Linked DNA regions of Lonchura striata. The protein of the gene in region 1 interacts with the protein of each later gene in a pairwise test. Links are inferred from orthologs where the notes say so. Each region holds a gene or a part of one and is shown in the gene's direction. Other genes may lie near its edges.

Region 1 (7,405 bases):
TGCAGAGAAGCAGAAGATATCCATGAATATGGACAGATTTCTTTTATTCTTCCGTATCCTCTTTCATAAAAAAGAGCATTGTTGAGACCTTTTCTTCATCATCCTTCAACTACAGCTGTTACTTAGACACTTTGGTCTCCTCTCCATTCCCCGAATTCAAATCCAAACACTAGTTTGTCTTAGGGATGACTTAATATCCATTATGCCACAAGTATTGGATCAGAGTGGATGACCATCAAGCACTGACTCTTAGAATGCAGTGGCCTTCCTCTTGCAATCTTACTCCAAGCTGTACATAAATTCACAGAGCAGGGGAAAACCTTATAGTCAACCTTATAGTCAAAAGGGGGTTTGCATTCTGATATGGAAATGATTAGAAGGTTTGCATTCTGATATGGAAATATTCAGAAGGTTTATGACTGCACACACAAAGAACTCTTTGTACATAGATTCAGTTATATTCCTTATTGTTGAAACAGTTCTGGAATGTTTTGGTCTCCTTGAGCTAGCAAACAGATGAAAACATTGGTCTGTCCTGTAATTTTTTTCTTTAAAATTTATATGAGAAAGATTAACAAGCAGCAGGATGGACAAGAAGGCATTTCACAACTGTGTTCCAAAAGAAAAAGAGAGTAAGGACAGAGACATGAAATGTCAAGTACTGTGACTCAAATGGTCACGAAAAAATTAAGGAGGATTAGAAAAGAAGTTAAACTGCACTCCTGACTTCAGAATTCTTCAGGACATCCAGACATCTTTCTCTCTAATGACCCAGTCCTTGGATATGCCAGCCTGAGAGCCTGCTGAAAGGGAAGGTTTGTAGTGAGACAGCAGAGCACAATGTGGCCTATTGTCAGCTTGGGGGCTAAGTACTGCCTACGTATGTCATATGACCTCAAAACCACCACTGGAAACACTACTACAGTTTATAAAATCCTCAGTGCCATTCATTACACATAACTAACCAAAATAGCTCACCTATTAACCTGTCACCTGCACAGCTCCTGGTCTCCAATTTACCTCTTCACCCTTCTCCTGCTTCTAATACCACACGGAATCTCGTCAGGCTCCAAGATGAGTGGTAATCATGGTGCTATTAATATGACAGTCAGCAGCCTCTTCCCACTTCACATGGCCTCACATGAATTCCTTGACATTAGACTTTAAGCCTCAGATCGAATCACTGAGTTTATGAGACTTTCTCCACTATAATTTTTCCAACTGAAAATCTGAAGTGGTTCAGCTTAGTGCACTTATTTAATTCTCCTCAGCTCTAGGACTCTTTAGTCATCTTTGTCCTATACCATCCTACTTCTGAATAATAAAATATTATCATGAACTGGGCACACCTGGAAACAAAAAGTCTGGGACATCCTGTGTGAAGAGGACTGCTGCTGTTAACACCGAAATATTACTAGATTAATTATATTTAATCAGTTAGCTCGTGTCTGAAATGAAAAAGTATTTCTACACACCAGAAAATTGTTGGAAAAATTACCATCAGTTAGAATGGGGAGGGGATATTTTGAAAGTAACTTGAAGCATAATAAAATGTTAACTAAGAAATAATCAGGGATGATCATACTGACTTGGGACATGTTGCAAGACAAAGCCCTTATTTAGCTGGCCAATTTAAGGCATTTTGAAAAACACATTACTCGGTTAATGGTTTGAGGAAACACTTTGAAAACTTTGTATCTATTCATTAATAGATACAAAATGCTCAGTTTTTTCATATTTTCACCAAAAAGACCTATGGGTTCTTAATATGTAATAATAGCATGATATTGAGACAGAAACTGAAATAAAAGATGAAATTAAAAGCTGTCTGCTCCCCAGAGCCAGTGTGCACTTTATCCTAAGTCACTTGGCTGCCACAGCAATGCAGCCAGTGACTATCTAGGGTGACACAAGGCAGCCATTCTAATGGGATAAAGAGGACTTTCATCTCTACATTTCTCCAGCTGGAATAATGCAATGGTGGCCTGTGACAAACGAGCAGATGATCCCAGTCCAATTTTAGGATGCCCACCCCAAAATGCCCAGTGACAGACTCACAGCTCCCTGTACATGGGAGCCTTTGAGTTTGTGTCATTTTTTCTAAGTCCCTGCTGAGAAGCACCAGCAGTGTAGGACAAAGCTACTTCCAGCTACCGGATCCTCCTACGTGTTGTATGGATAACTACAAGACTTTGACCTAAAGTCACCTTGTCCTAGTTTCTAATTCACTTTTATGCAGATGAGATGGCAAGACTGGAGCTGCAGTATCCACACTGGCTCATACTTTCAGAAATGAAAGCTGCAAGATTTATTCATCTGAGCGACCACAATTAGGCCAGCTTGCAGGATCAGCTTTATTCTGCATGAAAAGGATAGATCTAACTCACATAAAGGAAAATGAGAAATATCAGTGGAAAAGAGGATGTGCCAACTCTTGGAAAACATTACTAGAAACTGCATTGCCCAGACTGAAATGTCATTTAAAACCATGAGTGTCCCTTTAAGCAAATTATCAGCACAGGGAAGGAAGAACTAAAACCAGTAAGAGAGCAGCTTATAAAACACTGCCATCACATTTTCATAAATTATACCCCAAAATGTTTCACAAAATTGAGTAACAGAGTAAAACAGAAAAGATGTTTGTAGCACATTCCTTTGGCAAATGCAGGATAAAGCTCATCATGTGAGCTAAACTGTAAATGAGGGCCTTATGCTTTATAAAAATTCTTCTATTGTCCCAGGAAGGATGAGAGTCAAACGTCAAACGTAACAGTTTCAGCATATAAGTCCTGTAAATAAAGTTAGTTAGCAGACAGGAATCAGCAGACCGTCTGGGGAGGGGAGAAAAAAAAAGTGAAAATACTGTTTTTGTATGAAAATTTTAAGCACACTGCTGCTGCATTTCAGACCCAGCTTCATTGCACTGTACCAGAGATTAATTGGACCCACAAAATCCAGCAAACAGTATATGACATCCATCTACCTTTGCTGCTTCAGCATCCTCCCAAAAATATGTAATGCAGGATTTTAAATAGTACGCTAGCCCAGTTTCCTTTCATAAAGTCTTACAGAGAAGTTTAGGAAAATTCCAAAAGTAGCATATTGATTGCCTCTGGGATTTTCCACTTAGCAATTTAATAGAAAATTACACCCCTACCCAATCTGTGAGGTTTCCATAACCTCCCTAGTGAATTTAATTTTCCAGCATATAATAAATTTTACCATTAGGCATATTTTCTGATATTGCTTCACCATTAAGGCTATTTCCCAATTTTTCTTTTCAGAACTAGGTATATCCTCTGTGTAGTGTCTGGATGGCACCTTGCACCGAAGAATTCAGGTCTGACTGTGTGCATGCACACAGTTAGGATACAAATCACTACTGCTAGTATTCAATTTTCTTCCCTCCTGCTCATTTTATGTCATTATACCTAGTGATAGGGTCGGTCAATATTACTGGAGCTAACGGGATTCTCCTGGGTGCTCTGAAGAGACCAAGGCAAGATCTGCATTTTGCATCTGTTCAAGTAGGCGTATGCAAGTATCACATAGTCTTCTTGTCACAACACAGTCTGACTACATGTAAAACACAATATGATGATCGGAGCTGTGTTTGCAGTTATCAGTAGTCATAACTGTAAACGCCTGAGTTCTTTCTCTACAGGCAACAGGCAAAAGCACTCTCGGCTGTAAAAAAAAAAAAAAAAAAAAAAAAAAAAAATCACTCCACCCTCAGTGAATTTCGCACAGTGAGCGAACTGGAAGTGTGGCTGAAGGCATCAAGTGGTAAATAAATCAAAGCACTAATTTCAGCTGTGTTTGGGCCAGCCGTATGGCTGCAGTGACCTCACGGTGACCGTCGGGAGGGCTGCCAGACGCCCTAAATCTCGCTGCTCTGGAGAGCCGAGCCTCTCTTCCTCCTGCTGAGGGATCCAGGTTTGGCAGAGCTCATCCCAGCCGGCGGCTCGCCGCTCTTCTCCAGGCCTCGGTCCACGACACCAGCGGACACATCGCTGCGATGATCCCTGTAAAACACGGCAACAAACAGGTGTTGCCATCAGTTCCTCAGGTTAACCCACTTCCGCACGCCAGCTCCAGTCCCGGTCCCGCCGAGCGCGAGGAGCTGCCCCGGCTCGGCCCCGAGCGGAGCCGCGGGCAGCGCCGGGCGGGCAGCGCCGGAGCCGCGCGCGGGCGGCGGGCGGGGGACACAAAATGGCGCTGCCCCTCAGCCCCTCGCCCTCAACCCGCGGCGGGGCCGAGTGGCGGCGGGCCGGCCCCGGGGTGGCGGTGGCGGCTCCCGGCCGGCGGAACCGCCGCCTTCCTTCCCCCAGCAGGTGGCACCGGGGTCCCGGCGCCGGCGGCGAAGCCATTGCGGGCCGCCCTTCGCCGCCGGGCCGCGGCCGCGCAGCCGGCGGGGGGGAAGGCGGCGGCATCGCCCCCGCGGGGCTCCCCCCGCCGCACCCCGCTTTTCCTCAAAGTTCGGGGCGGGAGCGAGGGGGAGACCGGAGCCAACTTGTCCCGGATCCCTTTATTCGCCGCCGGAGCCGCCGTCTCTCCCAACCCCCGCGTGTATTGCTGATCGGAGGGACGGAGCTCGGTCCTGTGTCCGCCCCGCTCCTTCCTGCCCACACCATGGAGTTCGCCCAGAGGAAGAGGAGCAGGAAATCCCAAAGCTTTAAACTGGTCAACGAAGGTAAGGCGCGGGCGGCCGGGCTTTGTTCGCTGGCCGGGGGCAGCCCCGACTTTTGCCCCGGGGGGAGCGGGGCGTTATGAAACGCCGGCGCCCCCGGGCCGCCGCTCCCTCCCGGCTCTGTTATTGAACTCCGCAATCCTCTGCCTCAACTCCCCGAAACCATTGCACGCCTATTTATTTTTTTTTTTTTAATTTTATTTCTTTCACCCCCGTTTCCTCTTTTTTTTTTTTTAATTATTTTTGCATATGTGTTACGTGTTGTTGCAAAACCACCACCACCTCAGGTGGACGTGTTATTTTTTTTCAAGCAGAGAACCTTGCACAAAATAAAGTTGGATCGCGTTTCGTGGTGAATCCTGCTTGGGCGGGGGGGAGAAAAGGTAAAAACGGGAAGAGAGCAAAAAATAATGACACTTGAGCAGCGACAGACCTTCTTGGTATTCAACTCTTGTGGGTTTATTGTATTTGGGGTGGTTTTTTTCCTCTCCTCGGCTGTGTACATCCGTGTATTTCAAGAAAAGCTGAATCGAGATCGCTTTATTAAAAATCCACGCAGGTAATTAATTGTACGTGGGCAGGGGAGAGCCGCTGCCGTGTAACTTGTTCGCTCGGGGTGTGTTTGCTTTTGGAAAAGAGGATCTTTTAAAAGGGATCGTGAAGGGAGAAATATTTTAATTCATGTCGGACAAGAAGCACAGCTCTGTGTTCAGTCTTCTTGTTTTTTTCTTTAATTAAAGGGGGGAAAAGATACAGCCGCTGGTAGGCATTTTCACAGGTGGACTTCCCAGCCCTAGGGATTTATTTTGCTTGGGGATTTATCCCTTCTCCGGCCGATGAGATGTTTTTGTCCTGATGGATTTGATTCGAGATCGTTTTTCCTTTTGTGTTCCCAAGTATTGGACGGGAATATCTCCATGAAACGCTGTGTGTGTCCTGCATGCCAAGTTCAAGGCAGGTGACTGCTTGGGTTTAATGTCACACTGGTGAAAAGGGGGACACACACACACGAGTGTCAAGACTTGCTGTCTGAGGAGTGCTCTGTAAAATTACGTTTGAAGTGAAGAAATTCAAATATGGAAATAAACTCACTTGGTGGGAATAGTAAATAATGACTGCTGTATTGTGGTAGGGGGGTCTGGGACATCACACATGGTCCCTGTTAAAGCTAGAGGGGCAGGGACTTGCCAGACGTGTCTGAAATGCATTGGAGGTCTGTATCCATTAAGCAAACTTATCAAGGGTGTAATTTTACAGAGAACAGGTTTGGTTTGTGGGGTTTTGGTACTGAACACGCTCCCAACTTGGAGGCAGAGTTAGTGCATGACTGCGCTGGAGCATGGAGGTGGTGAAACAAAACTGAAATTTTGCTTTTTTTTCTTTCTATCCTAATGGGCCTATAAAAAGAGTATTTGCCAGAAATAGGTGACTGTTTTGCCAATCTCAGTTGCCATTTCGTTCAGGTTTAGATATGCCTCGGTGTATGAGGCAGTCTATTTAACCTTATTTTAATAGGTAAATCCAGTTATGATGGTACATTATTAATAATATTTTATGTGTGGTCTCTTTTTGGATGTAGAAAGTAAAATAAAAAGCTACACTAAAAACATATGCTAGAGAGAAAATAGTGTCTTTTTACTTTGAGAATGGAGGAGATAAAAATCAGGTTTTGTATATGAGTTTGCACTCTCATACTGTTTTCTATCACAGTTGACTAGAAAGATAATTATGTATAAATAATTGTCTCTTGTAATTGGCCTTTGCCTCTTGCAGGAGTTATTCTGTAATGTCACAGTTTAGTGTTTACTGTTGTGAAATTGATACAGTTTCCCAGTGCCTGGACTGTGACATCCAAGACACAGAAAAGAAAGCAAACAGAAAAGGCTATGCTGTATGAGTTGGTTAGTAAGACACTCTGCTATTGATGTGTGCCGATACATACCATGCTTATTCTGTCCCAAAAATAACTTTGAGCACCTTATCACAATGATCAATAATGATCAAATCAAAAGAAAATCAATTCCTGTGCTAAAATGCAGTCACCTCTGGGGTGAAATGTGGTGACTTTAAGGCAGCAGCTGCAGACCAGAGGAATATTGTGACCAGCTAGATATATAGGGAAGTGCTGGAGAAGAAACTGTGTAATCTGTATATCTAAAGACCATGAGTCTGTAAGTCTTTAAGTCCTAGTTTCCACATACTTGCTTCCACAGATCTGGAATGTCCTTGAGAGGATGAAGGTGCAGAGTTGCAGAGTGTGGCAGGTAGACCCTGACTGGCTGGCCATCAGGTGCCCACCAAGCCACTTCATCACACCCTCTGCTCAACAGGACAGCTAGTGATCATGGAAGGGAGCATAAATCCTGCCAGTTTAGTCTCATAAAAGAAGCTTTTACTTCCTCGATGTCATATCTCAAACTTCACCTTTACCCATTTCATTGGCTGGGCGTGCTCGGGAAGCAGAGGAATCCTTTGTGTAGCACCTCATCGCTGACCTCTCCAGTTCTGTGGTGTAGTTGTTTTCCCCTCATTTTCTTTCCAGGCCCTTCTCATTCTATAGAATTGCTGGGTTAGGCTTGATTTTAGTTTACATACTGGGTTGTTCCTTCTCTTGTGCCTTTTCTGACAGTCGTGCTGTACAAATAAACAGCACGTAACAAAAAAGTGACTTCCAGGAGACTTTTCCAGTGCTGTGCCTGTTTGGTCAGAGGTGCA
Region 2 (7,786 bases), on another chromosome or scaffold:
ACCTTGAAAGTTTAGAGCAAATGAAGCTGCTTTGAAACAGGCTGAAAGGCTCTATCTTTTAAACTTGTGAATGCGGATAGATGAGCATGTCTCCAGAAAAAAAAAAAAAAAAAAAAAAAAGGCTGAGGGGAAATGGGTATGAGTACAAGCACATTAATAAAAGTTGTATTTGAATGTAAGGTTTACTTTTAAATTAAATAGTAATTTACTGTTCCACAAGAGAAGGAGAAGCTTGAACCAGCTCCAATTGACTTTGCTGTCAATCATATCAGGCTCAGATACACTCTACATTCAATGTATTGTATGACTATTCTATACTCATGTCAAGTGACACAAGTGGCACAACAACAGATGTGTAAGGAGTAACCTTCCCACCAGGATTCACCTACTTCAGGGCAAGTATTGTTCCCCTTTAACAAGTAGGTGAGGAAAAGCTCATTGGCGGTCATCAGCTTCCTCGCTCAAGCAGGATGCCCTAGCGCATGGTAGTCAGAATTTTGTCTACATTGCTTTTAAGTACTCTAGGGAAGGAGACTCCACAACTACTCTGGGCAACCTGCTCCAGTGCTCAATTAGTAGAGAATTTCTTCCTCATGTCTCATGTTCAGGTGAATGTTTCTATCTTCCAGCTTCTGCCCATTACTCAGCATTACTAAGAACTTGACTCCATCCTCATGAGAGCCACCCATCATATATTTATACATATTGATGTGATCTTCTCTCAGTCTTCTCTTCTCCAGACTGAATAGGCCCTGTCCCAGCTGGAATGCTCCAGACCCCACCTATGCTGCCCTCAGCTGAACATGCTTCAGGAGCTACATGCCTCTCTTGCCCTGAGGAGCCCAGAACTGGACATGTTGAATTTCAGACAGTTCCTCTCTGCCCACCTCTTCAATCTGCTGAAGTCTTTCTAAAGGGTTGCACAGCTCTCCTGGGTACTGGCCGCTCCCTTCCAGCTTTGTGTTGTCAGTGAACTTGCTGAGGAGGCATCTACCCATGACTGACAAGTTAAACAATACTGGACCAGTACTGAGCCCTTGAGGACACCACTAGAGACAGGCCAGCAATGAGATTCTGTGCCACTGATTACAACCCTCGGGGATCTGCAGTTCAAGCTCAGGAAATTTGGGTCGGACAGTGAGGTTGCAGTGAGAACTGGCACCTCACTGTCCACTCATCCAGCCCATACTCCTGAGCTTGCCTATGAGAGTAACACCAGAGGACAGTGTCAAAACTCTTGCTCAAAGTCCAGGTAAACATCTACTGCTCTTCCCTCTCATCCACCCAGGTAATTGTCTCAGCATAGAGGGCAATCAGGTTAGTTAAGCACACTGACTACTCTTCATCATCTTTGTGTCCACCATGTATGTGGAGGTGGCCTCCAGGATGAAACGTTTCATTACCTTTTCCAGGATTAAGATGAGACCGATCGGCCTGTAGATCCCAGAATCTCCTTCTTGCCGCCTTTGAAGACTAGGGTGGTACTTGCTGTCCTCTAGTATTGTGACACCTCTCCTGACTGCCATGACCTTTCAAAGATCTGAGAGCAATCATGTCTACTCGTTCTTTCAGCATTCATAAGTATGAAGGAACCCAGCAGAGCCCATGAACTTGTGGATGGCCAAGTTCACTTCTTTATGATTTCCCTGGACACACTGAAGAACATTTTGAAGCAGAAGCCTGAGCATAAAGCTGTCTTCTTGGAATGTTCTAGCTTAAGCCATTTTTCACAGCCACCTAGGCTAAAGCAGCTGGATTCTGCTAAGAACCGGCTGAAATACTAAAATATAATTTTTTCTGCTATTTCTGTTGCAGTGAGTGCAATTGTCTCTGGCAGACAAGTGATAGCAAACACAGAAATAGCAGCCCTAACTGTTACAGCAGGGGTTTCAAGGTGGTAATGGTGAGGTTGCTGTAAACAATTGCAACTCCCTGGTGGTAATGACCTCTTTTTGGTTGAAGTGTCCCTTCAAGAGTACCACCGATACATCAGTTTCTCAACAGCCTTACTGTGTTGGTATAATTCTTCAAATAAAAAAGCTTTAGTTCCACAGCAACATATCTAGCTACTCAAAGAAATATCTCTTTTTGTAGTGGTACCTCATCTAGTCTGAAAATTTTACATGCTATTTTACCATTAATGGCCATATCCATTTAATTCAAGTTAAAGACCCTCATCTTTTCTTCCTTTTGTTATATTAGATAAATTAATGGGGGAAAACAAATTTATCCTATAGCATGTGACTATTCATCATCAACATATTCATTATAAACAAAGCTTCAGCTACTTAAGGCTCATATAGGGAAGCCTTACTGACCCTTCCAATTAGGATTTTTGTATCAGGTGAACATGCCTCACTTGACAAAAAACTCTCATGTTTCCCACCCACTCCAGACAGATTACAATGAGATTCAATGGTACTTCATCAAAACACAAAAAGAAAAAGCATTCAGACTGACACCAGCAACAGGCATGTTCATGCTCTCAAAATGGAATTGGCTGCTGCAACCTTCCCAAAATAAACATAATCATTAACTAAATATAGCTGTATCTATTCCAGAGTCAAGAGAACCTTTCTTCTTTTGCCTAAAAGATTAACTTTTTATTTATTTTTCTTCTCTGTATACTTTCTAACAAAAAGAATGGCCTGACCTGGTTTAGAATGTTTTGAGTGTTGCTGAATCCAGCAAACAGTCGAGCTGTTTTGAAAGAAAGCTTCCCCTCCATTATTTAATGTTTGTTGTCTCTTTGGCAGAGAGAAAAGGCAAACAGTCCTCAGATTTACACTAGGGAATGGAGGAAGAAAAACAAACGACAAGCGTAAATGACTGCCTAATGAGAGTTTCAGTATTAAGAAAAAAAATTATAATGAGAAAGCATCTCTTTACCCCTTTCATTTTCATTAGCATAATGTTCCAAGAATGTTAAATACATTCTTTTATCTCTTAGACGCCAGTTTGCAGCTTAAGACAAAGCTAAAAACAAAGTTTTAAATTACAAGTCAATCAAAAGATTTACATAATGACATAAGTTATTTTGTATATTAAGATTTGAATGATTCAACTTCTTTGATTTTGTTCCCAAGTAAATATTTTGCAATGACAATGGTGAACTGAAAATACAGCCTTTTAAACTTTTTAATTTATTGATACTTTGCATTATCCAGTTAGCACTGATTCTTACACACCTATTTTCAGCATTTTGACCATTTACATAAAAAAAAATAAAATGAAGACGATTAAACTGGAAAACTACAGGAACAGTAGTAATTCGTATTGTATTGCCAGCATTGCAAATTGGTGATTTGAATAAAAAGAGCTCCACGCTAAACACCGTGTAAACAATATCTGTCACTTTAAGACCATAAGATGCATTTGGTGCTCCCAGCACTATTTCAGGTCTTTAACTACTCCACCTGACCACAGCTCAGGAACTTCACTTAAACTCGGTCACCTGAGCGTCTGTAGTAGCTACTGATTTTACTTAGATTCCTATGAACATTCTTACTCCATACGAAGTGAAATTTTACTTGCAGAATGGCAAATACTGCCCATGTGACATAATCTTAAAAAAATGTAACTACCTCTAACACCACGTACAGTAATCTGGCTGCATTTTTTTTTTTTTTTTACCTCTACAACCCGTGTTCAAGAAAAAAAAAAAACCTCAGACAGGTAGGCCCATTATTTTAATGAAGTACTTAGTTGCCTGTTACATGAACAGGTACAGCTTGTACAAAAAACATGGGAGCTCTGCAGCCCCTGCTGCAAACCACGTAAACCACCTGAAGCATTAAAAAAAAACAAAAACCAAAAAAAAAAAAACAAAAACCAAAAAAAACAAAAAAAAAAAAAAAAACAAAACAGGAAAAAAAACAACCAAAGAAAGAAAACCCCAAAAACAAAACAAACCAAAAAAAAACACCCAAAAAACCAAAAAATATGCAGCACTAGGATACAGAACTGGAAAGTGTCCTTCCAAACCAACTTTAAAAAACCTACTCAAACGGAAGCAAGCAACACAATGCACTATTTCCCCTCCCAATCGCGCAGAAACAAGAGCTGCTCCGCGGCTCTTCCCCCGGGTTCGCTCTCGCCGCCGGTGCCTCCGCAGCCGCCCGGCCCTGCCCCGCGAGCGGCCGCGGACAGCCGCAGCCTGCCGGCAGGCCGGGTCCGCTGCAACGCTCTCGGCAGCCCGCCGTCGTCCACGACAGAACCTCTGCTACGGAGAGAGGGGATGGGCTCTAAGCTTTCCCCACACACGTGTTTTTATGTTAAGGGGAGAGAGACACCCGCCCTGGGCACGCACACGCACACGCACACACACAGACACCCAACAGCCAGACACAGCTGATCCCACGCCCGTCAGGCTGGCTCCTCCCCGCCCCTCCAGCGGGGCAGAGGCACAGCGCACTTCCAGCACCTTCTTCACCTCTTCCCCAAACTACTGCCGCGAGTGCCGCCCTCGTAGGCAAAGAGGTCCTGCCCCTCTCCCCGCGCCGCGGAGGCGGGCCGGGAGGGGCGCGGCGGCGCCGCCGCGGGGAGCGCGGGCTGCCGCGGCCGTGCGGCCCGCGCGCAGCGCCGCGCTCGCCCTGCGCACGGCGCCGCGGAGCGCGGCGCACCCCGCCCCGCGCGCGCCTGCACACCTCCGCCCCCCCGGCCTCCCGCGTGAGCGACGGCTCCCCGGGCCAATAGAGCCGCCCCTTCTACGCAAGGGGGCGGGCACTCCCTGCCTGGCGGACCAATGGCAACACCGCTGTCTGAGCAGTGGCGAAGGCGAAGGGGGGGCCGGAGGAGGGGCAGGAGTTTAGGAAGAGGAGGGAATGGCTGTCATCAATGAAGTCATGTTCGTGATCTAGTCCCTCGCTCCGGTTCTGGACTCGGGTGACTCACTGAGGGGGGAGAGGAGCGACAGTCAGCACGGCGCTCCGCCCGGGCGGAAGGTAAATACAACTTGCGACTCGGTCCAACCCCGTCAGCTCCCCGTGCCCGGGCACGGTCCTTTATTGTCGCCGGCTGTGCCGGCTCGCTCCGTGCCCACCTTCCCTCTCCCCATCGCTGCCCTTCCCTGCGCACGGCACCGCCGGTCCCAGCCGCCGCCGTGCCACCTGCTTCCTCTCCCCACCTTCCCCCGTGCCGGGCCCTCCCGAATATTTATATCCCCCAGTGGGTGGGGAGAAGAAAGTTTTGATCCGGTATTATTCTGGAATAATCACGATGCGGATCTCCGGAGCGGGAGCGACAGAACCCCCACGGAGTCGCCGGTGGCTGACTCGTGAGTCAGCGGCACTCTCGGTCCTGCCGCCCAGCGAGCGTGTCACGGGCTGCGGGCGAAGCGGCCACAAATAGATCCTTGGGGAGCGACGGCCCGCACGGACGGGCCGGGGGCGGCTCCGCTGCAGCTGCCGGGGGTCGCGGGGTGAAGTTCAGGGCGTCCGGAGGCAGCAGAGCGCGGTGCGCTGGGGCTGTTCCTCCGCCGTGGCACACGCTGGCTCAGACCCAGCCGAGCAAGGGGAAGTGGGGAGGCATGGGGGGGGAGGAACATGGTGCAGGGGGGAGCGGTCTCGCCTGCGAGGAGAGTAGCGGCATTCCCCGGCAGAGCCAGGGAGGCCATGATCCGGATCGTCGCTGCGTGCCTGTCACAAACATCGCACACACCGGGGAGGGGGAAGAAGCGGGGGCTTGGACTTTAGCCCAACAGGGCTGCGGCTCCTGTTGCTTTTCGGTCTCTTGTTTTTAACTGTGCAGTCACTCCTGCTGGAAAGGTGTCGCGGTTTACTTCCCAAAATAGCTTGCATGTCGTCGTACCCCTCCCGTTTTCCCTGCAGAAATTCACCCCCCTCCTCCTCCCCACCTCCAAGCAGAGTAGCACAAAACATGCGCTTACAATTTTGGAATCGCCTGCCAAGCAAAAAAGCGTTTTATTTCCGGTGTGCGCGGAAATTTATTTTTTTTAACCCGGCCGGGCGGGAGCCAGGATGCAAACGCGCGCGGATGCTCAGGTAGCTGCGGGTCGCCGGCCCCCGTGTCGTGAGAGGGGACAGCGGTGTTTGGCACCTGGAAAAGTTCTGTGCCCAGCCGGAGGCGGGGGTGGGCGGCAGAGCGCTGCTGCAGCCAGCTGCCGGGCGGGGCCGGGGGCAGCGGAGCCCGTCCGCGGGCCGCAGCGGGGCAGGGGCGGGAGGCGGCGGCGGGGGGAGGATAGGAGGGCGGGTGGCCTTTCCCGTCCCTCCGCCTGTACCAGCGGCGGCGGATCAGGAAGTCACCGCCGCCACACACAGGCGCACAGACATGTTTGGTCGGCGTGACATGGTGGCGGAGGGAAGGAGAGGCGGGGAGACGGGCCCGGCCCAGCCCTGAGGCATGACCCGGCTGCTCGCCCGCCCGCCCGCCCGCCTGCGGCCGAGGTACGGGGCCGTGCGCGGGCAGCGCCGCCAGCAGCGCACCCGCTGCTCCATGGAGGGGCGGGGACAGGCAGCAGCGGGGCCGCATTTCCAGGCAGGGACGCTTTACAGCTTGTGGGCCGGGGAGAAAACTTTCCAGAAGGGCTGGAGGGGGGAAAACGGGGCCCTGCCGGTTGTGCGCGCCCGCCGCGGCGCCTTGGCGGGGGAGGCGGCGGGCGGCCGGCGCCGAGGCCTGCGCGCCGCCCGCCCGCAGGGCCCGAGCGCCGGGGCAGAGCGGCGGGGCTGCCGCCGAGGCGGCGAGCGCCCGCCCTTGCCCCCCGCCGCTCCCGGGTCGCGGGTGCTCCGCCGCGGCTCTTCCTTGCGTGCACGGTGCAGAAATGGAGTTTCTTGCCTTGTCTCCTCCCCTCTTAAATTTATAATGGTGGAACTACGAACTGCGCACGGCTGGAAAAGTTACAGCTCTTCTAAACTCGATCTGAAGTTACAGTTTAACGATTGGCTTGGATTGTTTTTTGTTTTGGTTTTTAACCTGAGCGTGCGTTATGGTCAAGCAAAGGGAGTGTAAAAGTGTCAGCAGATTACATACATTGTACCGAATTTGTTTTTTCTTGATACCTGATTAATATGTTTGATATTCGGAGTTATCGAATGCTAGGTTAACGCTGTTCTTTTTAGGATATATTTTTATGAATATTAATGTGAATATGAATATGCAAGTAAATAACCAGCTGAAGAATTGAAGATTAAAAGTTGCTGGATTTTTCTTTTTTGTTTGGTCGGGTTTTCTTCCGCTGTGTTCTGCATGCTTTCATTGTAGAATTGATCTGGGGTCTGTGACACTGCATTGTTCCGTTTGCATTTTCGCTGGTTTTCTTTTAACTTTCTGAAATGTTAAGTGGTTTTAACCACAGACCCTAAGACCCAAACGGTACACAATTCTGTACCAGAATTTAATTCCTTTGCTAGTGTACCAGTTGCGTGTTCGGGGTGGGGTAGTCTCCTATGTGCAAGTTACTATTGTTGTGCAAATACGGGCACACTTTCTCTTTGGGAACCTAATTGCCCTATTACTGTCTCTGACTTTGTTTCTTTTGTTCTTTTGTGATTCTAAGGAAAAAAAGTAGTGTGTCAGAAGGATGGGTTTGCCTCGAGGCAGGTTTTTATGTCTTTCTCTCTCTATACATATACATATATATATATCAGTGATAGAAAGAAAAAATACTGTATGGATAGTGGGCTTTTAAAATTTAGTGTGGATCATACAGCATATGTGGACTTGCCAGAGGTGAGAGTAAAAATATTATAAACATTATTTCTCTTTAAGACTGGTATTTCTGTGGTGTTGGATGGAACATGTGCCAAAAGAGCGTGTTCAAAGCTGTTTT

Evidence for each region.
Region 2: the proteins of BEND7 (region 1) and SMARCA2 interact in binary tests that used the Homo sapiens proteins (3 or more experiments, as listed by UniProt). The two-hybrid records come from large-scale screens. The link is inferred for Lonchura striata from reciprocal best matches to the Homo sapiens genes BEND7 and SMARCA2.

What each region holds. Positions count from the first base shown.
Region 1 is NC_134607.1:66,508,965-66,516,369, forward strand, and holds the start of BEND7 (BEN domain-containing protein 7), read left to right. Parts: upstream 1-4,388; 5' UTR 4,389-4,632; coding exon 4,633-4,693; intron 4,694-7,405.
Region 2 is NC_134642.1:16,215,513-16,223,298, forward strand, and holds the start of SMARCA2 (SWI/SNF-related matrix-associated actin-dependent regulator of chromatin subfamily A member 2), read left to right. Parts: upstream 1-4,772; 5' UTR 4,773-4,943; intron 4,944-5,939; exon of another isoform or gene 5,940-6,002; intron 6,003-6,306; exon of another isoform or gene 6,307-6,404; intron 6,405-7,786. UniProt on the Homo sapiens protein: ATPase involved in transcriptional activation and repression of select genes by chromatin remodeling (alteration of DNA-nucleosome topology).